Linked DNA regions of Styela clava. Each later gene encodes a partner of the first gene's protein in a complex. Links are inferred from orthologs where the notes say so. Each region holds a gene or a part of one and is shown on either strand. Other genes may lie near its edges.

Region 1 (9,669 bases):
ATTAAGATTAAAACTTTTCGCCTTTTTTGCGCTCCTGTCCAAACGGCGCCCATGGCACGAGCCATGGATGACACACCCTAGATACGCCACTGAACGTACAGTCAGGAGACCAAGCAATGACGTTAATTCTACAATCAGTTTTTATCACTTATTTCTTTTCCGTGTCAGTTTGATATAATATTCTTTCAATGTACGATTTCATCAAGTAACACTGTTATTTAAATCAACTTGGTCCAGTTTCACACTTTTCACGTGTTCATCAATCATAGAATCAGGAACGATAAATATTCGAGTATTGAAGTGTAGGGAACGGATGCTTGGCAGCGAATATGAAGGAAATAACAAAAAATATTGTTGGCAGTATCACCCTGAATATAACACTGAAAATCTTGCTAGAGATCAGTAACACTTAATAGGAGTACTTAATGCTGAAGTACAATGGAGAAGAAGATTCCCAATCCTGTATAGTTTCCATGATGAGGGAAACGTTTGGATTCCGCCATAGGCTAGACCCAGTGCCGGATTAACCATTAAACAGTATAAGCATTTGCTTAGGGTACCAAGCAAAGTGAGCCACCACAGAAATTTTAGAGCAGAATTTTTATATAGTTTATCGGTGTTTATTAAAATATTACAAGTTCACCAGACGACTTAAACTTCAAAATGTTAGTTTATTGTTCGTCTTCAAGTATCATATTAACCTTCTTTATTAAAAATAAACACTAAAACTTTTTTTTGGACACGAAATGGTCCTATGAGTCGTTTTCCTAAATTGTTGTTGTTTTTTCTTTCTAGTATTCTCCTTGTTAACCTAAAAAAAGTGCTTAGGACACCAAAGGGGCTTAATCCGCCCCTGGCCTCTCCCTCCATCACTGTAGCCAAACCATTTCGTTCTATCCAAAAGTTGCCGCTTGCATATCAGTGACTACCCATACGGAATAACTGTCACGTGGAATGCCTTAACCCTTTAACAGTCAACGCATTATATATAGCACACGGCATCTATCTAACAATGGAGATTCGCAAGGAACTATTTATTGACATGAATGAATTATACATAAAAAAAAACTTACGTGCCCGATAAAACACCATAAATATAAACAAAACTTGATTCGATAAACTGTGCCAGGCATTGTTCGTTAAGGCTGTAGAGCAGGTGTTTGGATGGACTTTAACATACTTTTCCAGGCTGGAAAGTACTGTACTTCCGTGGGGAAGTACAGAAGTTGCGGTAACCACTAAATAGGCGTCGGAGAATGATATTTCACAGTACGGATATGTTTAAGCTTACCATATTTCCCGCTTTAGGCGAGACAGTCCCGCTTTTTAGCGTTTTGTCCCGCCGTCCCGACAAGTCAGCCAAAAGTCCCGCGCCTAAAGAATGCGTTTGTTTCCCCGCTAACATTGTTAGAAAACGTATCTCACATGTACAACCAATACTAATTAGTCTAAATTCGAATTATTTGTACCGGTATCGTTAACGCCAATTCCTTTCTATTTTTCCAACTGAACCCGATATTTGGCCAGAGAATATGCGCATTAGTTTTCGATGGCAATATGGCCAATGAAGACAGCCTCAAATGTAGGCCCATGTAGTAAAATCGGAAAATGTAAAGTTACAAAATCACAACTAATGGGTCCTTGTCTTTAGAGGCGTCCCACTTTGAAGTCACAAAAATATGGTAACCTTAGATATGTATATATGCTAATTTTAATATACTATCAGGATAGTTACGGAATCAGGAAAGCGGACAAAAACCACTGAGTATAAATACTAGATAATTTGAGTTGAAAGAAATAGCGTAGTATGCGTTTTTTACCTGAAAATATGTTACAACAGTCCGATACAGTGATAGTTCAGCAGAGGAATCAGGTATATTTTAACTCCAGTTGTCTAAGTTTACAGTCATTTTTAACGATTAATTGATAATATTTGAATATATTGGTATATGTTTGAACCTACTGCAGCGTTTGTCAAATGCAACGCCCAATAGAACTAGCAAAACATTTAAAATAGGACCAAGGAGCGCACTGAGCGCCTTCAACCATACGCCAAATTTCGCCGATGTGTTCTCAGTACAACGTCATCGAAGGACCATGCTAATTTGCGTTCACTTTCGGAAAGGTTGAGTTTTAAAAATTGACTCTCCTAAACGAAGTCCATTTTATATGAGCTGTAATGGCTAAAAATATCAAAAAATTACATAGAATAAAATTCATAACAAAGGTTTTTCGGTGATAATTTTTTTTCTTTCTATTGAAAAAATAAAATGAAACAATAAATCAATTTATGAGGTCCAATTCATAACATCATAAAATGGATTCGACATCAATTTGATCTCCAGTATACCATATTCGATTAATAATATAATACCAATTATACAGTCAAAAGAATTCATAGTCCATGATGTATGAAGGTTTAATTCCAATATTTGAATAATTCCATGATCCAATTGATTTGTATTCCACCATACCAATATCGTCAGCATGATATAAAGATCCAATTTGTCCATAGAGGTTATATATAACATAGCACATATTTTGAGAAAATGAAAAAAAGAAAAAAAAATGTTAAAAAAAAATAATACGACCATAATCTTATCTTGTAATTGATATTTGAATATAATACAATAAACATAATCAATTCAAACCATATAATTTCTAAGCCCAAAATAGACAGGTAATAAAAAATACACCAAGTTATTCTATGGGGGTTTCCCCATTCGCCACTTATGTTCACATAACTCTTTTTCTCCTTTAAAAAGTGAAGAAAAAACAGCAATACACTCGATCACAAGAGAGCTATGCTCAAAATATGAACACGTAGCGCCACATAATTTTATTGACGTCATATTAAAAAATAAAAGTAATAGCCTTCTAGAGAAATATTCCATCTTCAACCACTGAAAATTTCAAAGCAATTGGTCTAGTAATCAAAGAGAAAAGCGATTTTTTCAAAACGATACAAAGAACAAGAACAACATAATATTGAAACGATCGTTATGTCACCTACGTGTCCAATAATACAACAACTTCATCTAGTAAATCATAATTTTCATGTTATCACAATTAACATACAATTTTATCATGTAACTATGTAAATATTTTTTAGATGATGAATATAAAAAACAGCATCACAGATTTTTCTAAAAGAATTTCAATCTTTTCATCTCCTAATATTTTCTTTTTCATAAACTCATTCATAACTCTTATAGATCCTATCACCACGCATTTAAACATCGTTCGAAATACAGACTGATAGGTTTCCAAATCTTGAAATACTATGTCATTTCTGAAATTCCAAATCGCTGCTTTACCACAAGAGATAATTAGGTTCACTGATTCAATTTCAACATCTTGGGTGAAAATACTAGGTTCTGTATAATTTGATAAATTTAGCCACTTCCAAAAATGTTTTGTATAATCACAATTAAAAAATAAATGCATACAATCTTCTATCTGTCACAAAATAAGCAATTGCCATTTGCTACATCTGACCAATGTCTAATTCGTTATTCCATTGGAAGCCCATTTTGTAAAATCTTTCAACTTAACACTTGATTTTTTCTGGGAGTATAATTTGCCCACACTTCATTCCCACTAAAATTAGGTCTTGAATTAAATTTAGAAATAGTCCCAAAACGTTTCTGTTTCCATTGGTCAATGTTAAACTTTTTTAATGATCTTCTATCAAACATTTTTGTTGTGGGATTTTCAGGAAAACCGTATTTAAAAGACATCAAGACGGGATTATGATCACCAGTTTTTTTCTCTCAATAAATCTTACCATTCTTGAGGAATTGATCTTAAAATTTTCTGAACACACCAAATCACATTCCTTATTTTATTTTTTTGCTTCATTTTCAGCCAAGTTTCCTATTTTATCTTCTCCATATATTTTTTCAGTAATTAGTTTACATGATAAATTAACAATAGGCTATGCTCTATTTTCGTTATATTTGCCTTAATCCAATTACTTACATCCTCTGTATGATTTCTCAAATTAATCAATAGATTAAACCAAATATACTCTAAAATAAATTTCGGATCTTGGTTTTAAAAGAATTTCTTTGTATATATATTTAAAGCCCTGAAATAGTTGACAATATTTGTGTAAAACTGAGGTAAAGATTTTTTTAAATTATTTCTCAAACTCACATAGATAATTTCAAGATTAGAGGTTTCAAGTTTAGTGTAATAGCTATTAATATATATTTTGGCTCTGCCACTCCGTGGTGCTACCATTGATCAATTTCTACAACCATTTTAGTTGAATACTCCTGATCTGCAATTCGAGATCAATACATCCTAAACCACTCTGCATTTTACTAGCACAGCATACACTCCTGCTTATATATTCTTGTTTCCCCCCAAAATTTCTAAGTTAATTTTTTTAAAGTTGACAAAAAATTATAAGGTACTATTCTAAAAGATGCTAAACACCAAACTTTTGACAGCAGTAATTGTTTAGTGATTATATTCTTTCCAATCATTGTTAGGTTCCTACCACGTCATAAATTTATAACATTTTGAATTCTTCATATAACTGGATTCCAATTTTTATCAAATTTAATTTTATCATTTCCTATCCAGCAACTTAATACTGATATAAGGTCCCTGGAAACGTTAAGTTCACGAACCTAAATAATTGGCAAGTTTACTAAATTGCCACATACTAGTATTTGTGATTTATTTTTATTCATATAGGTCCCTGTTGCTTTTTCAAAATGTTCAATAACATTCATAGATACACATAAAGAATAGTAATCCCTCAAAGTCGACAATGCGTCATCTTATATTTTTGTTCCTCATTCGCTACATTAATAAAACCTCTAATTTGTGGATTATTTCTAATATTACATGCAAATACTTCAGCATATAAAGTATCGGAGACAGTGGACAACCTTGCCTTAAAACTGTTTCAACTATAAATTCCTTGCCAATATAACCATTGGTTATAATTTTCGAATTCATCTTTGTATAAATAAATTTTTGTAAGAGATATCCAAAATGGCCCGAAATTGAATTTTTTTAAAACTTTAAACAAAAATTCCCTATACACACTATCATAGGCCTTCTCCCAGTCTATTGAGAACAATAAGAGATCAGTTTTTGAATAGTTTGCATGGAAAATATCATCTCGAATTGTTATCAAATTTTCATGTATATTTCTGCCATACACAAATCCCGTTTGATCTGGATGAGTCAGTTTAGGAAGTTTATATTTAATTCGATTACACAATATTTTGGTAAAAATTTTATAATATAAATTAAGTAATGAAATAGATCTCCAATTGGTTAATTTGTTCCTTCCAACTTTTTTATACAATAAAGTAATTATTGGCTCTGCCATAGTTTCGGTAAGTTGTCCAGAAGCTATACAACAATTATATACAACGAGTAAAATAGTTTTGACTTTGCCCCGGCATATTGTATAAAATTCCTTCGTAAGACCATCTAGGCCCTTTTTTTTTCAAATAATCTCTGCTCTTCCTGTATATCATTAACATTTGTAAGGATTGTACCATCAACTGTCTCCAATTCTTTAGAAAGTTTAATTTGCCCTCTATGTTTCTCTAAATTGAAATAGTAAGAACTAGATTTTTCGCCTTTTTCATGCCATCTTATTCTACTTCTTATAATATTTCCATGCACTTTTTTTTTCGATAAATTATCCAACTCCTCTTTTTTTAATTCAACCTCGTGTCTTTTTTCTATATCAAACCTATTATTTTCATAATCCATTAGAGCTTTCTGGTATTTATTTATCATCGAATTTTCTTTTGCTTCTCCCCAAGTTTTCAAGCATTTTCCACAGTATATTGCCCAATGTTTAATTTTAGCTGTGATCCCACCTCATCTTTAAACGTGTATACATGTTCAGAATGTCGTTTACACAACAATTCAAAGTAAATTTCTGTTTTTCATAGTACGAATAATTACTCCGGCGAATAATTATCTCGGCGGGTTGCGTTAAACGAATCAGGTGGTTTCAACATATCAAGTATGAATCATACTTGAAACACAGCAGTACGTTTGTAAAATAAGATGTAATTAAAGTAACTGCAAGTTGTGTAGAGATTGATGCTATAGTTGTAACTGAAGATCGTCATTTGCTTTCGGTGCTGACTCTGTCTGGTTTATCTGACTTATACGAGCATCAGTTTTGGCAAGCCGTGGGGGTGTTGCTGTCGTACACCTTGATTTGGAACCTATTTTAAATGAATACTAACAATATGACAGCAACGGCAGGCTATCAAAGCGAAGAGCTTTTTCGTAATATGAATAATCTGCTCGGCAATACGTTAGACCTGCGCGGCATCAATGAAGGAGCCTCCACTTCAGCAGGTTCGTTTTACAGACTGTTGTGATTCTGATTTTTTGATCGATGACTTCATATCTTTATTCATCAAAATTATATAACAGAACCAACCAGAGATAGCTCGTATGCGGCTTGGTCAGCACAGGCTGGTTCACCCAACAAGCAAACGACAGGGTCTGGCAACGCAAACAGTCAAGGTGGTGTTTTTGCTATAAATAACGTTTCATAATCCATTTGATTGTTGTCGCTTTACTCACTAACTTACAATAAAACACTACATGAGCAAAAAAGGCTTTTATTTCACGTTTATTAGTTTTACTAAATTTTATTTTGTATAATTCGAAACCGACGATTGTGTCTAGGAAACAATGGCAGAGAAGTTTCGGATTTCATCAACAAGATCAGTGGAATGAAAAAGGAATTGACCTCTTCAAATAGCAATAATAATAACACCAACAGTAACACAGAAAATTTGGTTAATATTATCAACCATCAGCGAGAAATGGCGGCAAAACAGATGGCAAAAAACACGGACGTACAGCAAAGACTGAAGGAACTGCAGCATCCAGGGATAAGTATGCGTCGCACAGTGCCGGACGTTCATCAAGTCCCTGCCTTTGACTATCCGATTATTCCTGAGGGCTACGCAAACAAGTTGGATATTGACACTAGCATTCGACAAATTATGAATCGTTCTGCTCGCCGAGGTAGAGTATGATACGTGATTGCATTTTGTTTGTCATCCATCTTTGTCTTAAATTTCCAGCGTAGACTAATACTATGTGTAATGTACATCTGTGTTTTGCTTTTTATAAGGCGTTCAACTTGCACTTCTCATCGGCTGCGTGATTTCAAAATGTGACACGCTCAGTAATGACCCTGTGTTAGGTTGTTTGTTACCTTTTTCAGATATTAGTGTATTTTCTGGCGTACGGAGATCCTTTTTTTTAAAGAATCTTCCTGCAAGTACACAGAATCGTTTTTGTACATTAAGTAAAATTTTTGTAGTAAATAAATATAGTTTCAGGTAAGATTATATTAATTTTAAGCTGACGGACTCCGCGCAAGAACACCAGATCCTGGCGATTTCGCTTCGCTCATTGGACCGCCTCTTCTGTGTAAGTTTATGAATTTTTATTAACTGGTACTAAAAGTGTAGATATTGGAATCAATTACTAACTTTGTTCAAAAAGATGAATTCATTTCTGAAATAAAGTAGATCATGTTCAATTTAATAGATTAATGTTAGAAAACGACTAAAACGAGGTATACCGGGTCGCCTTTACATACCTACTCCCCAGCGTTTTTCTAATATATATATACATATATTCATTGTTTCAGTTAAACATTTTCCTTTAAAATTCAAAATGGTCTCTGCTCCATTATTTTTTTTTGACATGCGATTTGGATTTCTCAGGTCATTTTTACATTATATAAGCTCCATAACATACTGACTAATGGTATCTTAATGATTAATTTAAATATGATAAATCATGACTCTCCCAGCTCCACAGGAACTCCAACAAACCCTGTCATTGAGCATGGAAGGTGCACCGCTCCATCTTAGTACATTGAACAGCGATGGGCTAAGCACACATTCATCTCATGACGCAAGTGGCTCCAGTATGAATTCCAGCATTTTGAGTTCTGGATCTGATCCGATGTCCATATCAGAATTAGTGGTAACTGTTTTTATTGTGCTTTATTAGGCATGTACGTGTACAATATAGAATAAAACTAAGACTATAACTTTCTCATAGTTGAAATAAATACAACGAAATGATTACATTTTTAGAGTGGAATTCAAGGTCTCCATATGGGACCAAGTCGCAATTCAATATCTGGTCGATCCACTCCAATTGTGCCCAGTCCTACAGACTGGTGCGATGCGTCCACCCCGCGACAATATTACAACCCCGATGGCGACATTGGCATGATTAACCCGTTCTCCTCAGAGCAACTGTTGGATGTTGCTTCATTATATGGAGTCTCTGACAAAATGGAATATGACGCAAGACTTCATCGTTCCGCTGCTGGTAAAGTTTATTTTATCGATTTTCAAATCAGAAATATGAATGTTAATTTTATTGCCAGAGCAATCAAAAAGCCCAAGTCTTTTAAATTAGGTCAACAAAATTTTTCTGTAGTTTGGTATATGATGTATGTCCATCATGATATAATATTTCAAATAAATATTATATTACATAATTATATAATTGGGAGTTTTCTTAAAGTTTGATGAGTAAAAATTGTGTGATATTTTAAATTTCATGCCACTCGCATTACAGCGTCGTGTGAGGCGACCTTTACTTGGAGCGGGCATCTTCCTATTCGCCATTACGTTGCGCCCACTTATTCACCAAAGGTGTTTCTTGGTGGAGTACCGTGGGACATCACCGAAGGTATGGAGAATATAATATTTTTGTACAAAATGCTTCCAAATCACACAATATAAAAATGGATTGCTATAAGTGTATTATAAAATCTGCTTTTATCATCTTGCAGCGTCATTCCATCTGACTTTCAAACCATACGGACTAGTTCGGGTTGAATGGCCAGGAAAAGACACCAAAGGACCTCGCTATCCTCTACGAGGTTGGTTGGCTGAAAATTACTGAATGTATATCATTTCATATGAAAAGTATCTCCTTATTATTTATATCAGTGGTTTTCAAAGCCTTTTTTTCTAGAAACATCCCAAGAAACCCCTGTGCAGTAGTCCAACTGTCCTTTAATGTCTGAATTGTATGAACAGTAAATATGAGGCCCAATAGGTGTTTGATTATATTCAAACAATATGATTTGAATGGAAAGGCGGGAACCCCTGGACTGTATTGGCGGAAACCTAGGGTGCAGCGGCGCCACGGTTGAAAACCAACGCTCTGTATACACCATATGTCCATTAATATTGCAGGCGCTAATTAAAAAGAGTGGCAACAAACATCCATGGCTATGACAGTATTTTTCATTTTTTAAATTTACTCATTGATTGAATGAAAAATTGTGTGCAGCTGGATACGTTTATCTGCTATTTGAAAGTGACAAGTCCATAAAAAGTCTCCTGCATAACTGTACTCGAGATGTCACAACCAACGAATGGTTCTTTAGGCTGTCGAGTAGACGCATGCGCAGCAAAGAAGTGCAGGTATATTTTCTTGTCTCATTGTTGTTCAACATTCTAATTAAACTGCACTTACTGTTATTGCGAGTTTCGGGGTTTTTGGACCCCATATTTTTGAAAGAACTTTTGTTCGCGCCTTTCTCTTTGCACAAGGCAATGTATAGGTAGCCATTGATATCGAACGATATATTGAAGGAGCTCTCCACAGACTCTGCAGTCGAAGTAG
Region 2 (9,372 bases), on another chromosome or scaffold:
GCGCCTGGCATGGTGTACTCCCTCCCAGTGGCCCACATGGTGGGCTACAAGCCCCCCCCCCCCCCGTTTGAAATCACTGATATGAGGTATATTGCATTGTAATACAGACATTACACACACACAATCATATGGCTGAACACATGGTTTCATATAATTGGATTAAAGAGAGCGAAAGCAGGAAGCGAACACTTCCTGTCTTTGGAGTGAATAGGCCACACGAGTCAGCAATTTGACTGTGCTATGACTTTTATATCTTTTTATCAATGGACCGTTCCTGACCGCACAAAAATAAAATTGAAATTTGAAAATCAAAAGCCAGCTGTTCAGCAATTATGTTTCAAAAGCAAGATGGCTTTGCATTAATCGAGGCAAATATCAAGAGTAGTTTTTTGTAGAAAAAAAATTCGTCCAGCAACACGTCCAGCAATTTTTCGAGTTATACTCGAATAAATACGATAAGTGTCTAGAAAAAGCATTTATTTGGTTTTCACCATCCCTGGCTGCACCAGTGAGTAAAATCTGGTCTATGATCTCTCCCAAACTTGGCAAGCTATTGTACTATAGTCTATTTATATTTCATACTTGACAGAGCCTAATAAGAAGAAAGCTTTTTAACCATATGGTCTCATGAAATTTGAGTAACGTTGAATTTGCATAACAAATTTCTATTTTTTTTAATTACTTCCTGAAGATAAAACATACCATTCAACCCTTGGGGCTTTGCGTACCCTAATATTCCTTGCGCACCCTCTATGGGGTCACTACACCCAACTTGGCAAGCCCCCATCTAAATGAAATAACTCAGGACAGTTTTGGGTGATGAACCAAAGGTTGAGAAATACGGCACTGTACATTCACTTTCACTGTGCACAAAGATTTGTACATTTGTAGCAGTCAACTTGCTCAATGAACAACATATTCAAATCACAACAGAAAATTCAGAATGTTCAAACTAAAAGGGAAATGGTTTTTTGAATTAAATTTACATCAAATTGCATATTATTTTCCACAGTATCTGAAATTAGTCAAATTAGGTCATTTCAAATTTCACTGCCTGATGTTACAAATTACAAAACAAAAATATACTAACTTATATATATCAAAAGGAATAAAATATTCCTTCTGAGTTTCATGTCATAAACAGAGGACTATTCTTTGTGATTAAGGGGGCTTGCTGCCACTACAGGGGTTTTTGAGGGTCTGACCCCCAAATGAAATATAAAAAAGCAATTTTATGTATCATAAAAATAACATAATCTCTTTCCATGAAATATCAAGTATATTTGTGATATCAAGTATATTTTATATTTGTCGTTAGATCAGTGGTCGGCAACCACCGGGCCGCGGCTGATCCGTGGAAAGGTCACTACCGGTCCGCAGAATGGTGACATGAAAACGTACAATGCCATTGTTATCTTCATGTGAGGTTGGGTTTTTAAAATGGCAATTACAAAAACGAAAGATCGAAGTGGGTTTAACGTGAGTGAGAAATACGTTACATGAATAGTATCACCTTTGTTTTTGAATGTATTGTCAACATACATTTTCTAACGCATATTATTTATTACAAAATTTTGGTCAGGCTTTACCGGTCTGTTACTGGAAAAAGGTTGCCGACCACTGCGTTAGATCATAGTCCAACTTCTCCAGATAAAACAAGATATGGCCTAATCAAATAGCTATATACTATATAATATACTTAATATTTCGTGGAAAGAGATTATGTTATTTTTATTTATCTTCATAATACTATCTCAGTCACACATCCTTGTGGCAACAGCCACATACGGATCCGGAATATAAAGTAAACAAGGAGAAAGGACCTGCAGTTCAATACACAATACCCTAGTACAGGGGTGTGCAACCTTTATTACAGGAAGGCCAGATTCAAGTGATTGAGTGAAGTCACAGGCTGTACTTTTATTTAAGATATAGTTTATAGTAGTTTCACACACAAAAACTGTTTTTGCTAGCTAGTTTTGCTAATATGACAGTGGCACTCGGGTACTGGCTTTGCGACGTAAAGTGATTAAAATTTCTCGCACGTGTCACAATAACTAAACTAAAAATTCTTTTTGCGGGCACACTATTCAAAATTGGCACTTCTCAGCGGGCCGCACAATATTTCCTTGGGGGCCGCATTTGGCCCGCGGGCCACAGTTTGCACACCCCTGCCCTAGTACACCCCATTATGTATCATACATAGCAATTTTGTGAAGATGGCTCTGGGCAAGCATCCACCTAAACATATGCAGACTTTACAGAGTTTGGGGAATATTTCTCCAGATTACTTAGGTGAGACGTTCGATTTACTAGGACTAATATTTCTCTCACTTTACCCATTTTTCCCAATTTGGTCTCAATCTCATTAAACAGCAATCACACTGTTAATAGAAAGACTCCCTTCACTAGTCTAGTTCATGCATCCGCCCAGCTATTCTCACACTGGGACAAAGTCAGGGTCGTCCAGTCGGACTCGCTGGCTGCTATGGTCCAACTCGACAATTAATAAAAATTCCAGATCTCCCTCCTTCAATTATTCCTGGCTATTCACCTGGTCCACTGACACAATTGATTAATAATTTGTCCTCGCTAGACAAGCATGTCAACAAAGACAAGAAAAGCGATTCCATAGTCTTACATAACTCCGATTGATAGCTATATTTACAACAGCAAATTTCAATTCCTTTGTTGGAAACTCTTGCAACTTATGATTATATTTTATTATATTCATCTTAGATAACTGTTGACTTGTGATCGCTCGAGCTTCCAAACACGGTTCATCAGCTTTCCTTTCACTCAAGAAAAAAAAAAAAATCATCTCCTACCTCTGGTCTTGCTGGTTTCACTGCTTCTGAGGTTGGTCTGTCCCATTGACTCGCATTCGTGTATTTGTTCACATAGTAATGTCTCCCTGAGAAGCACAAAAAGAAAGTTGACAAAAATGACAAAAAATTGGAATTCAAGATACTTGCACAATCACAGATTCTCTGTATATATATATATATATATGTTGCATGTCTGCACGTTGCACACACAGCAGTGTGGCGCAGCGTGGTAAACGTTAGGTATAGGATTCGCATACTGGATAACTAATTCTATACCCGACATAGTATGGAAACAGACAAGAGGCCGTGGTTCGCCATGTAATCAAGCCACTTTATAGGCTTTCCTCTCCTCCCGGGATGAATATGTAAATCCTATATAATGCATTTTCTGTACTATTTACTTCCCCTTATTTATTATTAATTATTGTTTTTTGTTTGTCATTTTATATGGACGTTTCAAATGTCTTGAATAAATAAATAAAATGTACTAGGACGGTGGTTCTCAAACTTTTTGAGCCACGCCCCCTTTTTAGAATTTGTCAAATTTCATGTCCCACCTCTAAAATAACTAGCTAACAATAAGCTACAAATAACAGATAGTAAGGCAAAAGTATGATTTATTTGAAAAGCACGTTGAAAATATGTGGATGGAACGTACATATTGATACGAATAAAAAGTTTCGAAATGTAAAATATCCAAAATAAGGCAGGCAAGATCAAATCTAACATTTTTTTACCATTTTCAATTAGCTTCGAGCCCCCTCGAAAAATTGCCCATACCCCCATTCGGGGGGGGCGCCACCGTTTGAGAACCACTGGACTAAAATAATGCTTGGTTAAAATCCTTCAATTGTGAGTCATAACTACCTGATGATCTGCTTTCCTTCTTTATCCAACCATCTGGAAGTGGACTAACCGGTTCTGACTCGCTCATACTGGATTAGACTGGTTTCGTCTGCTCCAATTTGCACGGGATGATAAACAAGACAAACTGTTGTCAGATAGCTTGAGATATAATCAGACAATTCACAGCTGGATTATCTCGGTTTTAACTGGTTCAAACCAGTATAAACTAGTTTTATCTACAATATTCCTTAAAACAAAGCAAGAAACAAATAAATTTTTTTACAACAATATTATTTCAAATCCTGATAAGAAAGTTCAACAACATTATTAAGATAAAATATTAATTATTCTGATTTATACAAGGCAATATAAACAATAAAATATACAGAAAATAAAAATCCAAGAAAAGATTCAAGACATGCTCATATACAAGGTGGTCGCTGGAATACAGAAAATTTGAATATCAGATGAGGCAGGGAAATATTGTTCCAAATCAAAATAACATCATAAATACCACTGAAGTGATAAACAGGAGGGCCATGAGTGCTAAAAGTCTCCGAATGGGGGCCACAGGATATAAAAAGCTGGAAACCAATGCTATAGTGCAATAAATACTTTTATATTCGTTGCTCCCCGATGAAGGTCCACCTCACAGACACTGGAAGCAAGGATCGTTTTACTATAATTTTTTCACTTCCATTGGTTTCGTAACAATTACGATTTGCGATCGCCTGAACTTACGACATTATCTTGTTTACGAATCGCTACGTGACAATGGATATATAGCCTACATGATATTAAATGGGGGCTCCCAAAGTATGCGAACCAAGATGACGAACATCGGAATGTAATATGTGTACTAGGTTAGGGTTAGGCCATAATTTTAGGTATAAATACTACGGGAGGCTCTTGGCTAGTCTTCGAACTGATAATAGGACTAAAATAAGGAAAATTGGAAAGAAATTATCGCCTAACCCTAACCTGTTACCCATGTTACGTTCCGATGTCCGCCATCTTGGTTCGCATACTTCGGGAGCACCATTAAATGTATATTTCGTAATCTTTTCATTTCGTTGCGGACCCTCGTGGAGCCATCACGAACCCCAGTTCAAGAAACCCAGATGTAGACCACTGTCTACTTGTGTCAACCACTGATATCTCTATCGGGCAAACTGAATTTAGCAAATGAATGGCACTTGCAATTTGTCAGTACTCTTTCCATATTTAGTTGAGCCTTGTGCTGTTTAAATCATTCAGCGGTTACGTGATATGGCCTACGGCGGCGGGAAGGCCAGCAATCCTCTCAGGACATTTTTTCCCCCACAGCATTCGACCTGCGAACCCATGCAGGGTAGTCAGAGGTGCAATGACAGAGCGTATTTCTAGCATCTGATACCGAGCAAACATATGATTACTCAATCAAAACGTGACTAAATTTTCATATCTATCCTAACTTGGGTTTAACGTAGTATAGTACAACAAGCCTAGTGGGCTGGACAAAATTATTTTTGCATATGTTATTACAGTATTATTAACCCCACTTGACTATGTCATCCAAAATTTACATAACTACGACGTCACAATCACGTCATATAGCTTTTCAAATTAGAAGTATATGTCTGTATGTGGTACCGTACTAAACTACACCTGAACCCCTAGTTTTGCCTAACCCAAAAAATACCATGTCATACCTAGCCACTGGATGGGAGCTTTATAGCTATTCCTACCTATTCTAGAGTGGAAGTGGTGATTCCTCTACCAGTCTACGGCCCATCAAGTTGTGTAAATGGACTATTTACTTGGCTAACACAGTCAGTCACCACACTCATAATAGAACTATAATGTGAAAAATTTTGAACAAGATTTTGTCCTAACCCTAACCTGGTACACATACTACAGGAGTAGGCTATTCTTTTCTGTTGTTTGGTATTTTGCTTAATTTAAATATAGAGGCTTACCGTAAGAAAAAAATTTGCTGGCATCTCGCGATTTTTTTTCGGTTCGAATATTGACAATATTGTAAAAATTGAAAATTTTAGTAAGATAATTGAATTTTTCCCGATGGGGCCGCGGCCCATAGCTTGATGGGCCACGGCCCATGTGGCCAAATTAGATGGGCCGTGGCCCCTGCCTGAGTCACCACTCCTGTAGCTATTCTATTCCACCCTACAGCCCCAACCCATAGCTTACCATGAATCACACTTGTATAAGTTTATTTCGACTCCATAATTACACACTGACACATGTTTACTCTAACCATTTGCCAAAGTAATACATCTATCCTGACCCAAAACATATCAAGAATCTTATTTTAAATACTCTCCCCATTTCTCAATTTAAATTCCTATCCTAACCCAGAACATATCATGTCTATTAATATATTAAATTCAAATTACCTCTGAATACATGGGTTTCGACCATCAATCGTGCATGGAACAATATCTTCCCAACAAACCCACTTTTTCCACCAAAAAACGTTGCAAATACTATCAAAAACGTTGTAATTACTACCAAAAATTCCTACTTTGCCGGAACGTGCATTCACCGTTTCGCAGTCTGTCAATTGGATATATTTCCCAAGCTTGAATAATAGATAAACGATGCTCAACTTGTGATATTTTTCTATGTTGAGCACTTGATAGAATACAAACAAACATTTCTCCAATTCTGTCGACAGGATTTCCTGCCAGAATAATAACTCAAAAAACGCACTGTCAGCGGTGCGATATGCTTGCTAATATTCTGTAATATTGGAATATTTTATCGGGCACTATACTGTCATTGCCCAACGCTAAATTTTCTGTGTTGTTTATCTTATATGTTAGGTTATTCACCGACCTCCATCTGCTTATCTTACAAATTTCCTACCAAGATTAACAGAGAATGGTGGGGCATAACCCGACTTATCCATAACCAACATTGAGTAGGATTGAGTTCACACACTCATCTTCATGGAAAAGAAAGTCGATTTCTTGGAATGTAATGCATTTATTTTTTGTTACGTTTGTTGGCTTTTCTACAATTGAAATGGGTCATAAAATAACTGGTAAAAACGCTTCAAAACATGACTGGGTATTCTTATATACCGTATTTGCTCGTTTTGTAGCCCGGGCCCATATTTTTTTAACCAAACTCACTAACCGGGCCCTTATTCAAGCACAGGCGCTTGTTATTTTTAAAGTAAAAATTGCGACGCCCTATCAATATTGAAACGACGCACTTGGTAGTCGCAGACGCCCAGTTTGAGTAATCAAGGCTATCTGTTATGTAATTGGACGCATAAGGCGTGAGTGTTATCTACCAGCGCTTAAAATTCAACAGCGTTGTGACAAAAGCGCTTTTTATTTCCCATTGTTCTCTACCACTGAAAAATCAGCTTTTACATCAGGCGAGTATTCAAGCACCGGCCCTTACTTATTTTCATGTTCTGTTCACACGGGCGGCTATTCAAACGAGCCCTTAATCAGGATCGGACGGTAAAACGAGCATATACAGATAGCAGGAAGCCAGAAGTATTTGGAACCGAGCTAAGGTGCCAGGGAGAATCATGTCCGCAATTGAATAGATATACACCTCGAGAGCGCTGCCTATGAAAATAAGAGGACCCTACAGGCATCACATGGAAATACGACAAACAGACAGGCCAAGGCATATAGTAACCTTCTGTTCGAAATTCAAATCAAACTATCGACCGTCCCACCTTTATGTTAATTTTTTCTTCGGCCCTTATCGCTCCAAACATGGACATTTGAACCCACGACAATTGCACCCGCATACTACTGCACCTATGGAATACTAACCCTAACCTACGGGTTTCAGCACCTGCACATAGTTTGAACCCGCGGATATACACATGGGTTTAAATGTACAGTCACCACGAAAACTGCAATGCCAACGAAACTCAGTCGAATCGCGAACCGTTACGTCATCGCACCCAACTGACTTAATCCCAGCCTGCTTCCTAATACCTACCCAACGACTCAATCGAAAAAACACAGACTCAATTTTCATAATTAACATGTCTTCAATCGGAGATCTTTTCTGAATATGCAGTAAATGCAATATATAATACAGTAGTTACAGTGGGGACGGGGAGACCAAAAGGGGTGATGAAAGACACTAGCAGCCAGAATTAAAACACTTTCAATTGAAATTACAACTGGAAAATAATCACAATTTATACAAATTTATTTGTAGTAACTTAATATGGGAAATGCGTTGTTTGTGAGACCCTATCAATTGAGCAGTTTTATTTCGCAATAGATCTAAGAACAGATATTACGGTTCTACATTGCAGTAAATCCCGAAAATTATATTTAAACTGAAAATAGTTGAACAATTCAACAGAATTCCGTCTTGAGTATGAAAATTAACTGTGCACTGAATAATCTCTAACACCCCAACCCACGAAATAAATCGAGAAGTTATAGCATTACAAAATGGATGACCGAAGCCAACATTCGATAACATTTTAAAAATTATTCCAATAAGAGAATTGAGATATTTTTATGTGAAAACTCTCTGGTTAACAATGTTGTAAAAGCCAGCGATAAATATAGCTTTTTCAAGTTTTCATGGAGACGAATTGATTCCAAAAATTCCAATGTAAAGTGAATTCTATACTTTGAAATATAAGTTTTTTTAAATGTATTCGAATAGTGAATTCGGTCAGTCGATTAAAACTTAATTTTTCACATTTGGATGAAAAAAATATTGGTTGCCATGCAAGCAATTCAATATCACGATGAAATGTTCAGTAAAATGTTTTTCAGAAAGTCCAGCTGTGCAAAAGAAACTGTTTAAATTTCTCAATTTTTTTCCATGCACATTGTTATATTTTCAGATACTAATTTCGAAAATATTGTCAAATTTTGGCGACAAGTTTGCAAATGCTAAACCAGGTCAGATTTGTAGCCTATTTGAATGAAATAATTTACACTAAAATTGTTTTGAGAAAAACACAACCAACTGGTACCATTTGATACCAAATGGACACAGAACATAAAAATACTCTGATTAACAGTATTATGTCAAAGCAAGTTTCGATGAATGATTTCAGGAGCGTAGAGGAAAAAGGCCACAACGCACAAATAGAATTAAAATATCTTTCTAGATTATTGGTATGTCAAGATTCATACAATATAATATTAAATCATCAGACATTAAATTGAATTTTTTTTAGATTAGGATTAAATAAAAGGTAAATGGGTGGGTGGCCCATCAACAATAGATTTATTCCCTAAGCTGTTCTGCAATCATAGTGTGTTTATATTTTTTCCAAGATTTTTAGGTTTTCACTCATCGAGAAGAACGTTCAAGAAGAAGTTGATGACACTTTCAAGTACAGGTCCGGAATTTGGAAATATAATCAATTATTCGTTTTAAATGCTGCATGGACTTTAAAATAGACCAATCTGGCAAGAGCTATTAAAATCCGTTCTAAATATTGTTAACACTTTGAGATTATATTCAACATCCAGTCTTTCATGTGGCACGAGTTCTTCTATGTCCAGGAATCTACCGCCTTTGCAAGTGGGGGAAGCATTTCATCCGGCTTCTTAGTATCGCTGGTAACGAGAAAAGCACACTTATGTTTTGTGTCATGATATACTACTGCGCTTTTAGAACCTTTTTTAAATGGTTTACCATCTGTAGCGTCGGTATCTCTCAACAGAATATACTTTTCATTATTTATCAT

The links.
Region 2: the proteins of uncharacterized protein LOC120336202 (region 1) and peptidyl-prolyl cis-trans isomerase NIMA-interacting 1-like are in contact, whole or in part, in an NMR structure (PDB 2N1O), measured with the Homo sapiens proteins. The link is inferred for Styela clava from reciprocal best matches to the Homo sapiens genes CPEB1 and PIN1. Residues at the interface, in NP_001352172.1 of Homo sapiens: Arg206, Ile207, Ser208, Pro209, Pro210, Leu211, Pro212, Phe213; in NP_006212.1 of Homo sapiens: Arg17, Tyr23, Ser32, Gln33, Trp34, Glu35.

The regions. Positions count from the first base shown.
Region 1 is NC_135251.1:14,363,800-14,373,468, forward strand, and holds the start of uncharacterized protein LOC120336202, read left to right. Parts: upstream 1-6,086; 5' UTR 6,087-6,221; coding exon 6,222-6,348; intron 6,349-6,426; coding exon 6,427-6,519; intron 6,520-6,684; coding exon 6,685-7,029; intron 7,030-7,371; coding exon 7,372-7,440; intron 7,441-7,828; coding exon 7,829-8,004; intron 8,005-8,117; coding exon 8,118-8,358; intron 8,359-8,610; coding exon 8,611-8,724; intron 8,725-8,827; coding exon 8,828-8,917; intron 8,918-9,333; coding exon 9,334-9,467; intron 9,468-9,669.
Region 2 is NC_135254.1:5,014,242-5,023,613, reverse strand, and holds the start of peptidyl-prolyl cis-trans isomerase NIMA-interacting 1-like, read right to left. Parts: upstream 3,947-9,372; 5' UTR 3,763-3,946; coding exon 3,696-3,762; intron 2,915-3,695; coding exon 2,829-2,914; intron 1-2,828. UniProt on the Homo sapiens protein: Peptidyl-prolyl cis/trans isomerase (PPIase) that binds to and isomerizes specific phosphorylated Ser/Thr-Pro (pSer/Thr-Pro) motifs.